Pelodiscus sinensis: one gene and its partners. Each later gene encodes a partner of the first gene's protein in a complex. Links are inferred from orthologs where the notes say so. Each region holds a gene or a part of one and is shown in the gene's direction. Other genes may lie near its edges. The genes, in order: AP3D1, ARF1 and AP3B1.

Region 1 (3,744 bases):
TTAGGACCCAGTGGTGCCCCAAATTTTTGGGTGTCCTACGCATCTGTGTATTCTATGCATCAGTAAGGGTGGCCCTGTTAAAGAAGCCTGATTTTCTGAAAATCAAGCTCCATGCAAGTGAGTCAATTTACCCTCTCCAAACACTGACCTGCCCAAAGCTTAACTCTGACAAACCATTCATGACTTAGTGTTGTGTATTTGTACAGGGTGTAGCACAATGAGGCCCCGATCTCTGGCGGGATAAGAACAAAATAATAATAAAAGAACCGCTCCACTACAAACGTTGTTCTACTGTGGCATCCAAGCTGCTCAGCAAAGCTGCTGCTACTTCCGCGCCCGCTAGAGTTGTGTACATCTGTGTCTTTTACACGCTTGGGCTTTGTCTACACGCAGGGTTTCTGCATAAGAAGCGTTTTACAGAAGAGCGTTTTGCCAGATGAACAGTGGCAATGTTCCCTCTCATTTTTTCCACCCATGCATGGAATAAATTTTGTTCTCTGCACTGGGACCTGTGTGGATGTGCACCATCAGTAGAAACAGGGGCTGCCGGAGGCGTGTGACTCTCTCCCGGCGGGCCGCCCCGTGCTGAGCGTAGGGTGGTACCGGGCAGTCACAGCAAAGCGTCCACGGGCTCAGTTTCCCTGCAGCAGTGCGGGGGAGGGGGGGTGGGGGCTGCAGCATCCCCGCCTCACTGGGCATTAAGGGCCCCGAGTCAGCAGAGCACGTGCTCGAGGCCGGCCCTGTCGAGCGCATAGCGGGGCCGCTCAGCTTGTTGGGGGTGGGGCCCTTGCGGGGTGCAGGGGGAGGGGAGAGCCACTCCCCAACCCCTCCCCCACAGGCTGCTGGCAGCCCCGGGCGGGTGACGTGGAAGGCGCCGCCGGGAATCACGGCCGGGGGCGGGAGGGGCGGGCTCAGAGGAGGAGAAATGGGCGGGGCTCTGGGCCACAGGGGCGGAGCCAGAGGGAGCGGTGACGCGGCCTCGGCGGGAGTGGGCGGGGCCAGGGGCGAGGTGGGCGGAGACACGGGCGGGGCTGGCGCCGGGCGGGGGCGTGGCCCGGCGTGCGGCGGCCGGGAGGGGGAGGGGCCGAGCCCTCAGCTGACCGGCCGCCATTTTGTCAGGCGCTGGGCTGAGCGGAGACCGGAGATTCCCGCCGCCGCCGCCGCCTGAGCCCCCGGGGCGCGCGCCGCCTGGCCCCGCGCGGGATGTGAGCGGCCCGGCCCCGCCCCGCCCGGACACGCTCGGCAGCGGCCCCGCCGCCCGCCCCCCCCCCCGGCCCCGCCGCCCAGCGCAGGCCCCGCCGGCCCCGCCGCGATGGCGCTGAAGATGGTGAAGGGCAGCATCGACCGCATGTTCGACAAGAACCTGCAGGACCTGGTGCGCGGCATCCGCAACCACAAGGAGGACGAGGTGGGCCGGGGCGCCGGGCCGGGGGGCTGGGGGGGGAAGGAGCCTGGGGGCCTGATGAGGGGGCTGGGGGTTGGTGGGAGAAGAGGGGCTGAGGGGGGAGGGGAATGGATGGGGGAAGGGTCCTGGGGGCCTAATGGAGGGGGCTGGGGGTTGATGGAAGAAGAGGGGCTGAGGGGGGTGGGGGATTGATGGGAGAAGGGGCCTGATGGGGGAAGGAGCCTGGGGGCCTGATGGGGGGGCGGTCTGGGGGTTGATGGGAGAAGAGGGTCTGAGGGGGGAGGTTCTGGGGATTAATGGGGGGGCTGATAGGAGAGGTGGGTTGGTGGGGGACTTGGGGGTTGATGGGGGAGGGGGGCTGAGGAGGGCAATGTAGGACCAGGTGGGAGTTGCGAGAAGGGGAGTGGGTAGGGGGCAAAATTCTCACAATAGGAGCTGCGGGGGAGGGAGGTACCTTGGGAGCAGTCTGAAGTACAGTGCCCTGCCCCATAGAGAGCCAAGGGCTTCCTTAGATCTAACCCCAGACCTTTGCCTTCTAGGTTCTGCGGGGTAGGTGGCCGCTCCTCTCCTTTCACTGTGGGACCCCCATAGGATTTTGGGGGTGGGTGGCAGCTCCCTTCTCCTATCTCTTTGTGGGGGCTGCGTCCCCCTGTAGGCTTTGGGGGGAGTATGATGTCTATCTCCACTTGAGACCAGGGCTGCCCACAAGGGAACAAGAATCTAGTGGAGAAACTATCTTGTTTTGTCTCTTGTGGTGGGGGTGATTCGGGTCTTCTGCCCCTCTGTGGGCTGTGTATAAGCCTGAGGCTTTTTCTCATCTCGACCCCACATCAAAATAAAAGGTGCCTCTGTTGCTGAAAAGGGGATGTTGTCAGTGGGAAAGTGCAAGCAGTAATGAAAAATGAGGAAGAAGATTCTTGTCCAGGCTAAGCCAAAAGGGAGAGCATTCAAGGAAGCAGGCAGTGGGGTAAGAAAATTAAAAGGGAGGAGAAAGATCTGGCATATGGGAAATTTTTGTTGTTGATATCATGTTAGTGTTGGGGGAGCTAGCCTTGGTTATTTACAGCCTGTGATTTGTAAGTTAAAGGAATTCCTGTCTGATGTCTTAATGAAGTAAGTGACTATTTTCTAGGGTAAGATTGAAGCATAAGAAAATCAAGTTCAAGCATAATTAAGCTTTTTCGTTAGTCATTCAGTTTAGCTTATGTCTAACCACATTTTCAGAAACGTTAATATATAGGCTTATTTAAGGTAGAAACTGAAAGCACTTGAATGTCACCACCTGATATATTCTACTATATTATTTGAGTTAGATGGAAAGTGTGTAATTATTAGTCCAGAACTGGTTTACTTCAGAAGTTAGAATTCTTTTATCAGTTGTTGTCACGTGGTAACTGATCAGGAAGTCCTTGGAGTCTTGGCACAAGTAAACTTGGTATTGGAAACTTTTATATGAACAACTTTCTTAATTATCTTTTTGACAGAATATTAGTAACTCAATGAGAGTTTAGTGCGATAATGCTGCCACAGGTTGGTAAGATAGAACATAGCATCACAGTTATCAACTGTGGAAGGGATTAAGAAACAAATGTAGACATTGGTTGCTAGAACAAATAATTCGGTTGTAAAACTCATTTGTGTTGCATGTTTTTTATCACGGCTGCTCTCAGGCCAAAATGCAGTGTTGCTTTCCAACAGACATTCAACTTTCCAAATAGCTTTAGATTTGGATATTACACACTGATGCTCCACAGTATTAGGCAGTATTCCATAGAACCACATACCAGGAAAAACTACTCAGTCTTAAACTACATAATGTAGTTTAAAGGTGATTTGGTATTGGTTTGGTGGCCTAGGAAGATGTAGCTGTTTTCAAGGACTAAGTGCCCCCCACCCCAAAAAATAAGTTCTGAGCAGCGTGTAGGATTTTATGAAAGAGACAGTTTTTGTTAAATATGAAAAACTATTTACAAATGTTTATGTGCATGTTTGTTGTGAAGGTGATGATATGTATATTAACTTCTTGTAGTTCATGCTAGGGATATGAAAGAGTAGTCAAATAGTTGACTACTTAATAAGCCTAGGAGTCGACTACTCATGTTTCCCCCCCCTTGCTGCCACTTTATCAGAGACAGCAAGGACGGGGGGGGGGGGGTGACACAGGAGCTGGTGCCGGCGGAGCCAGCTCAAAATCCAGTTCTCTCTCCCCCTCACCTCCCCCGCACTGTTTTTGTGGTGCTGGGGGCAGGGGACACAGAGGCGCTGTGGGCTCTTACTATATGTAAAAGGGAGAGGCAAGGCACGGGACTCGCCATGAGCGGGGACTTCCCGGCAGCTCT
Region 2 (3,744 bases), on another chromosome or scaffold:
TTCTAATCAAGAGTAAGAATAATGATATACTGGCCAATGATTAGGGCTTCCGGGTATTTGAAAACTGGACCCCTTACACACCATTCATCTGACAAAGTGGGTTGTGCCCACGAATACTCATGATATCATATACACTTTTTGTTAGAAGATGCTGCGGGACTATTTGTTGTTTTTTAAGTTTTTCCAGGTACTACCTCATCTCAAAAAAGATATCTTGTCATTGGAAAAGATTCAAGAAGGGCAACCAAAATAATTAGGGGTTGGGCATGGGTCCCGTATAAAGAGAGATTTAAAAGACTTTGACTTTCCATCTTAAAAAAGAGGAGACTAAGGGAGGCTATGACAGAGGTCTATAAAATCATGACTGGTGTGGAAAAACTGAATAAGGAAAAGTTATTTACTTGTTCCCATAACATAAGAACTAAGGGTCACCAAGGCTATGTCTACACTGCACCGTAGTTTGAAGTAAGATGAGCAATTTGAGCTTATTAAGATAAGATTGCGTATCTTATCATGACCTTATTTCAAAATAGCTTATTTTGTTATTTGGCGCTGTCTACACAGCACCAAATTTTGAAATAACCCGGCACTTCCGAAACGCCCCTTATTCCTCGTGGAACGAGGTTTACAGGGCTATCAGACTAGTGAGCCCGAAAGAACGGGCTTGCTGTGAAGGCGCGGGATAGCTAGTTGGGGATACTCCGGTATCCCGCAATAGCGTTGCAGGGCAGAGGTAGCCCAAAGGAAACGAAGAGGTTTAAAACAAACCAAAGGAAGTTGTTGGTTTCACGCATCAGCGCGCCGTCCACCTGTGGAACTCCTCGCTGCAGGACGTGGTGAAGGTTCGGACTGTCACAGGGTTCCACAAGGAGCGAGTTGGAGGTTAGGTCCCTCAGGGGCTGTCAGCCAGGATGGGTCGGGATGGCCTGTGCTTGTCTGGGAACGGGCGACAGGGGGGGGATTCCCTGTTCTGCTCCCGCCCCCTGAGCAGGCTCTGCGGGCGCTGGGCTGGGGCGAGTGGGAGACACGTCACTCAGGGGAGGGCGTCACGGCCCCGCAACGCATCCCCTCTGGGCTCCCCACACTGCGCCTGCGCCCGCCGCTGCCCCTCCCCCACCCGCCTCACGCGCCCCGCCCTCCCCCGGGCTTTACCCGTCGTGCCCCGCGCCGCCCTGGCACACTGACGTGGCCGCCCCGAGCCGCCATCTTGTGAGCCTGGGCGGGGAGCGGGAGCGCAGCGCAGGAGGCAGCCGGCCCCGAGCGAGAGCCCGCAGGAGACCCCAGCGCCGGGTAAGCGGCCGCGCGCCCCCCCCCCCCCCGCCAACGGCTCGTAGCCCCCCCCCTCCTCGCCGGGCCCAGCAGGCCGCGCTGAGGCCCGGCGCTGGGTGGCGGGGCCCGGCCCGCCGGGAGACCCGGGGCAGCGGGGGCGGGCTGGCGTGTCCCTGCCGCGCGGGGGGAGGCGCCGTGGGGAGCCAGGCCTAGCTCCCCCCCCCCCCCCCCCCCGCCGGGGCCTGACCGCGGGTCCGCCCCCATCCCCCTACTCCGCTCGGGGCCCCGCCCTCCGCCCCGGCCTGGCCGCGGAGCGCAGCCCGGAAGGGCCCTGCCCCGGCCCTTCTGCTGCGGGGGGGGTCGCCGGCTCTCCCCCTCCGAGCGCCCGCGGGCTGGGAAAGCGTGGGGGGGGGGGGCTCTCTGAGAGGGGCTGACCCAGCGGGGCGTCGAGCTGCTGCCTTCCCCCCGCCCCAGGATTTCAGCACGGCGTGGGGTGGGCGAGCCAGGCAGGCAGCCTGCCCCCGGCTGGCGCAGAGCAGATCAGCCTTCGGCCTGTGCGCTGCTATCTGCGGCCCATGCGTGGCACCCCGGGAAGGGAGCAGCCCCCGCACAGAATAGTGATAGAAATGTAGCCGTGTTAGTCTGGTCTAGCTGGAACAAAATACAGGACTATGGAGCACTTTAAAGACTAACAAGATGGTTTATTAGGTGATGAGCTTTCGTGGGCCAGACCCGCTTGGAAGTCCCACGAAAGAAGTGGGTCTGGCCCACAAAAGCTCATCCTCTAATAAACCATCTTGTTAGTCTTTAAAGTGCTACATTGTCCTGTCTTTTGTTTCAACCCCCACACAGTGCACCTTGCCAGTAGTACAGGGCTCTATATTGGCAGCATGCATTCGCCATGAGACCTGAATGGGTTGACTCCATCTTGGTGTAATTAAAACTATCGTGGCATAAAATCATCCCGGCACAGTATTTTGAGTTTGAGTTCTGGCAAAGCAAATTCCGCAGGTTGATTTGCGTGCATGCAGAAGTTTTATTTTGTATCCATCCGCTTCACCTATAGCTATATTATTTGAACAGTTGACTTTGCTATGCAGCCACTGAGTCTCTGAGCCCCTCTTTGAAGAACATTATTGTTTATCCTTGTTGTACAGATGAGAAACTGAGAGCTTAAAGTTGAGTGATTTATCTAAGGTTATGTAGCAGACCATTCTATGACTGCTTTTGCCACAGAAGTTTAATACTCTAATCATGTGTCTTACTCAAATTTGGATCATTCCATGTTGTGTTCTTCCTTTAAGGAAGTTAGAATTTTTCTCCAAATATTCTTTTTCTTTCTCAAAATGGTGCCATTATATACACTATTAAATAGGTATGGAAGGAAAATTATTTTCTGAAAATAGTGTTAGGGTTTGATGCTGTTACTTCTACTTTGCACATCCATGATTGTTGCAAAGTTTAAGTGTTGTTTACTTCCCCAACCCCTTACAGTAGTCATAACTTTTGATGAAAAGGTGAGGAAACTACCTGACTTGACACTCTTTAAAACTCCTTTAGAATCAGGTGCAGGGTAGGTTGTGTCCATAAGTAGATGGCTTGAGTGGATCATGGTATCCACTCATTTGCTCTGGGTTCTTAATACAGCAAACTTGAATTGGGTGTAATGTCTGTTTCTAATCTCAGCATCAGTTTGTATCAGCAAATAACTTTATACAAAGGGATCTGAAAGGTGGGTTTTTTTGCATGCTGATCTGAAAGGGTACTATAAAAATGGTGGATTCTAACTCAGGTCTTTGTAGATCTGAGTCATACTTGCTGACTCTACTGACAAAATGTAGTCAGGGCTTTGCTAATAGTAGACTAGATTCTACACCTTCTTGTGACTCAGCACTGTTGTTCACTGTGGCACCCCTGTGTAAAACTGTTTTTTGGTATTAAGGTTTCATAGGTATAAATAAGGGCATAATTACCATGAAGAACTCATTACATTCACAGGTTTCTTCTTTCACTCATCTTTCCAAAATGACCTTTTTCTGTTGCACCTGCTTAGTGGAAAGTTTCATTACTCTGGATTCTTTACAGTGGGCAAATCTGGTCAACACTAACTCTGGCTACACTACAGTTTAACTTGACATAAGTTATGTCATTTGGTGGCTTGAATAGGCCACCCCACTGAGTGATAAAACTGTAGCACCGGTGTTGAAAGTACTATTAGGAGAGCTGCTGACAGTCAATACTGCTTGTTAGGGGTAGATGATTCCTATGGATTGGATAGCTCTTTCTCTTTGCTTAGAGTAGTGACATTAGAGAGCTTAGAGGTGCGTGCAGCTAGCTGCATTACTGTAAGACAGTGGTCTCCAACCTTTTAAAGCATGAGATCAATTTTTGAATTTAAGTGCAATCCAAGATCTACCTCAAACCCAAATACCCTTGCCCAGCCTCCTTTGTACTTCTTTTGAGACCCCGCCCCTA
Region 3 (3,744 bases), on another chromosome or scaffold:
ACCCCGAGCCTCCCCTTGCCCATCAGGCTGGAAACACCCCCACTGGGCTCTACTTGCAGCCTCTCCCTGTTTGAGCCCCTTCCTTCCCCACCCCCTCCTAAGAGAGGAGAAATCTCCCGCCTCTGTACCGCCTGCCTACTGTGCAGAAGCCTGCGTGAGCTCCCAGATGCATGGGGGGTGGGGGAGGAAGAGGGTGCTGAGTTCGAGCCACGGATCACCTGTAAGGCAGCCGTGGACTACTAGTGGCCTGTGGACTGCACTTTGAGAGCCACTATAGTAAGGGATCAAAAGTCCCTTACACGGGGTAGGAGACTGAGTAGTGGCTGCATAGCTTGCAATGCAATCATACAGAAGCCACTATCTATGTGCCAAACATGCCCCACTCTCCCGTACAGGTGTTACAGAAGGAGAGGCACCACAGTGACCACACACTAGAAGCTTGCAATACAGGAATGCACAGCTACATTGCAAGACTGGGGCTTCGGTAGACTGGTCCATTTACAAGAGGCTTCCAGGGTGCACTGCAGGAGCTAAAATTGCAAGGACCGCGGGCTTTGACTACAAAATCCTTGTTCCCACGGGGAGCACGGGCGGTCCAGGGCCTAAGTGAAATGCCGAAAGTAACCAGTCATAGGAAGGTGGACTCCAGGTTACCAGTGGCACCCAGCTGCAGTGCGATGCTTCCCAGAGAGGCCGAACGAAGGGGGGAGCAGGGGCTGCCGCTATCCGACCTGTGCTGCGTGGGGCTAGGCCGCGGCTCAGCGAGGCGGACGCAATCTCCGTGTGCTCCGCACGGGTACGTCTGAGCCCCACCGCCCGCCTCCTTACGGACCGCGGCTCTGGGAATCAATCACCGCCGCCCTTCGCACACACCCTCCTGCTGGCGCGCGGACCGGGCGTCTGCGCGGCTTTCAAGGGCGCAAGCAGAACCCTAGGTAAAGCCCCGCCCCCCCTGGGCGGCAGTACGAGTCCAGACTGTTCCTTTCCGCCCCGTCCTACACGCCACGCCAACAGCCTGGGCGGAGCTTCACGTGCCTTCTCACGTCCCTTCCTGGCCAGTGGCAATGGGGTTGTCATAGGAACGTTAGAACTCTGAGGCCGGGAAAGTTCCGCTCCTGCAGCCCCGCCCCATCATGTGACGCCTGCACCCTCCAGCCCCAACCGCTGCCGTTAGCTTCCGGGAGGACTCCGGTGCGCGCGTCACTAAGTTCCGTTGGGCAGCAGGCGCCAGAGGAGCCGCAGCAGCAGCAGCATGTCCACGAACAGCCTCGGCTACAACGAGCAGGGCGGAGAGGCGGCGGCGGAGCTGGGGCAGGAAGCGGCGGCCTCTCCCGCAGCCCCGGCCTCCGTCCCCGCGGCCTTCGGACTCTTCAGCAGCGACACCAAGAAGTAAGGGAAAGGGGGCGTGGCGTTGGCAGAGGGCGGGGACAACGGGGGCTGAGGATCGGGGCTGAGTGGAGGGCGTGCGGGAGTCCGGCTGCGAGGCAGGCAGGCGGTCGGTCGGTCGGTCGGCCGGCCGGCCGGCCTGGCGTACGCTGCTGGTTACCGCGTTCCTGTGGCCAGCTGCATACGCTGAATGAGACTCGCTGGTTGATCGACCCAGCTCACACAACTTCTAAAATGCAAGTTCCTTGGGCAGCTGGAGGCACGACCATGAACGTACCCAGAACAGCAAAACACGGAACGCCAAGTGTCATTTTAGAACCGGCCGGTACCGACGTTTCCATGCAAATTATGACATGCGAGCTACCATCCAAATAGACTATGGTAGTAAATCGGTGACTACCTTTTTTCTGGTTGCCATATAAAACATTTAGCTACTGTATCTGTTTAAACAGGTGGTGCCTTTGTTAATGGATAACAGAAATACCCTTTCAAATTATTTTAGTTTGTAGTTCGTCAGCAGTTTTGTGCTTAAAACCCGTGAAAGATCAGTTTCTTTATACAGGTAAATAAGCCTTCCAAAAGGCGCAGGTATTCTTACTGCATGGTTGTAGTTATGATGTTGTAACAAACATCTACATGGGTTGGTGTTAAACATAATGCGGAAGATGTTTAGTTGTATATTGTGGTCTCAAGACAAAACTGAGACACTAGAAAATTGTTGAATTTATCATGGAAACTAAAGGCATATTATCCTAGAAAGTTAGCATCCTCTTAAACAAATCTGGAAGTTAAGAGAAACATTTAGTATTAAATTGCTGAAAGACAAGGTGGATGAGGTAATGTTTTATTGGACCAATTTCTCTTATATTCCTGAGGAAATTCTGTGCATGATGTTTTGGGGTTCTGCAAATTTTATTTGTCAATAAATTTGGCGGCACCAGCATAGCAGTGAATAGCAGAGGTGACTTGCTGTATGAAGGTAGATCATCCTGTAGCCCCCTAGAACAGTGGTTTTCAAAGTGCAGTCCATGGACAACAAGTGGGCTGCAGCCACTTTATAGGCAGTCTGTGGCTTGAATTCCGTTCCCCTCCTCACTAAGGATGTTAAATTGCAGTTAATTTACTATTTGAGTAGTCAAGGGAATTTCTATTGAGTACTCAACTAGTCAATAGCCAATACCACATTCCACCAGGGGGCTCTTGTACATTTCAAAGGAGGAATGCAGAACACAGCATGCAGCGGGAAGTTTCTCTGACTCTGGGCTGCACATGGGCATGCTAGTTTGAAATGTACAAGAGTCTCAGTGGGGGCTCTTGTGCATCTCAAAGCAGAAGTGCACTCACGGAGTCCCAGGGTCAGCGGGGAACTCCGCAGCTGACTGCATGTTCTGCATGGCATTTCCCGAGACCTGTGGACTCCCCAGCTAATCATGGGTTTCGCAGAAACGCTGCACAGAGCCTGGGATCAGCGGGGGAGTCCCCAGCTGACCCTGGGCTCCAGGCAGCGCTGCTGCTTTGAAACACTGCCTTAGTATTTCAAAGGGGCAGCGCTGCACAGCTGATCCTGGCATCAGCTGTGTGGTGCTGCCCTTTGAAGTACCCCCTCCGTCCCCCCTTTGCTGCCTCTATCTGACGGGAGGGAGGGAGTCAATTAGTCTTTAACATCCTTACTCTTCACCTACTCAGTGGGAAGCCTATGCTGTCACTCCAGTCACATGGTTGCCATGCAGCCACAAGTCTGGAGCACCAGCTCTCGCTTCCTGCTTGGAGTGGTGGTGGTAGAAAGGTGAAATAAGCCCTAAACTTCCTTGCCCGACCGGGATCACGGAGACAAGCAAATCAAGTAGTGTGGGGGGCGGGGCAGGGGAGCAGCAGCGCATGGAGCTGCTTGCTCTGCCTCTTTCCACGAGCTGTGTCTGGTGGGAAAGGTCAGGGCTTTTTTCACCTCTTACCTCCCCCTCCCCTCCTGCATGCACTCTTTCCCTGGTGCTCCAATTGGCTGACCAATGGGAGAAGCGGGAGGTGGTGCTTGGGAGAAACAGAGGTGCAAAGCCAGGTAAGCTCCCCCCTCATGCCAAGATTGCATACTTCCAGCTTGCTCTTGCATCCTCCCTTGCTCCTGCACCCTCCCTACTGGCCACACTCAGCATCCTCCCTCCTGGCTAGACATCCTACAACAAGCACCCTTCTGCACTTCCACCTGGCTCCTGCACCTCCCCCCTGGCCAGACATCCTACTCCCAGCCTGCTTCTGCACCCTACCTCCCACTCAGACCTTTCATCCTTGCCCCTCCTTGCACCCCACCTCCACTCCAGATCCTGTACCCCCATCCCTATCCCACATGCTGGTAGCCCTGTT

The links.
Region 2: the proteins of AP3D1 (region 1) and ARF1 are in contact, whole or in part, in a cryo-EM structure (PDB 9C5B), measured with the Homo sapiens proteins. The link is inferred for Pelodiscus sinensis from reciprocal best matches to the Homo sapiens genes AP3D1 and ARF1. Residues at the interface, in NP_003929.4 of Homo sapiens: Lys48, Asp50, Phe77, Ile80, Glu81, Ser84, Asp107, Met110, Leu111, Thr112, Thr113, Asn114, Gln115, Arg117, Lys118; in NP_001019397.1 of Homo sapiens: Tyr35, Ile46, Pro47, Thr48, Ile49, Gly50, Phe51, Asn52, Val53, Glu54, Trp66, Lys73, Ile74, Leu77, His80, Tyr81, Gln83, Asn84.
Region 3: the proteins of AP3D1 (region 1) and AP3B1 are in contact, whole or in part, in a cryo-EM structure (PDB 9C5C), measured with the Homo sapiens proteins. The link is inferred for Pelodiscus sinensis from reciprocal best matches to the Homo sapiens genes AP3D1 and AP3B1. Residues at the interface, in NP_003929.4 of Homo sapiens: Lys352, Leu442, Ile446, Ser471, Tyr483, Trp487, Glu491, His517, Ala520, Val521, Gln524, Asn525, Lys528, Val561, Gln562, Ser563, Ala564, Leu566, Glu567, Gln569, Glu570, Arg571, Ser573, Cys574, Gln577, Leu578, His581, Ile582, Leu585, Lys588; in NP_003655.3 of Homo sapiens: Asn75, Lys466, Lys467, Gln470, Val494, Ala497, Ser498, Trp501, Leu531, Leu534, Gln535, Asn538, Lys542, Asn567, Tyr568, Asp569, Asp572, Arg573, Arg575, Phe576, Ile577, Gln579, Leu580, Lys586, Gly588, Ala589, Leu590, Ser591, Tyr593, Lys596.

What each region holds. Positions count from the first base shown.
Region 1 is NC_134729.1:27,439,500-27,443,243, forward strand, and holds the start of AP3D1 (AP-3 complex subunit delta-1), read left to right. Parts: upstream 1-1,093; 5' UTR 1,094-1,312; coding exon 1,313-1,408; intron 1,409-3,744. UniProt on the Homo sapiens protein: Part of the AP-3 complex, an adaptor-related complex which is not clathrin-associated. The complex is associated with the Golgi region as well as more peripheral structures.
Region 2 is NC_134712.1:252,867,024-252,870,767, reverse strand, and holds the start of ARF1 (ADP-ribosylation factor 1), read left to right. Parts: upstream 1-1,145; 5' UTR 1,146-1,290; intron 1,291-3,744. UniProt on the Homo sapiens protein: Small GTPase involved in protein trafficking between different compartments. Modulates vesicle budding and uncoating within the Golgi complex. In its GTP-bound form, triggers the recruitment of coatomer proteins to the Golgi membrane.
Region 3 is NC_134716.1:86,592,761-86,596,504, reverse strand, and holds the start of AP3B1 (AP-3 complex subunit beta-1), read left to right. Parts: upstream 1-801; 5' UTR 802-1,252; coding exon 1,253-1,389; intron 1,390-3,744. UniProt on the Homo sapiens protein: Subunit of non-clathrin- and clathrin-associated adaptor protein complex 3 (AP-3) that plays a role in protein sorting in the late-Golgi/trans-Golgi network (TGN) and/or endosomes.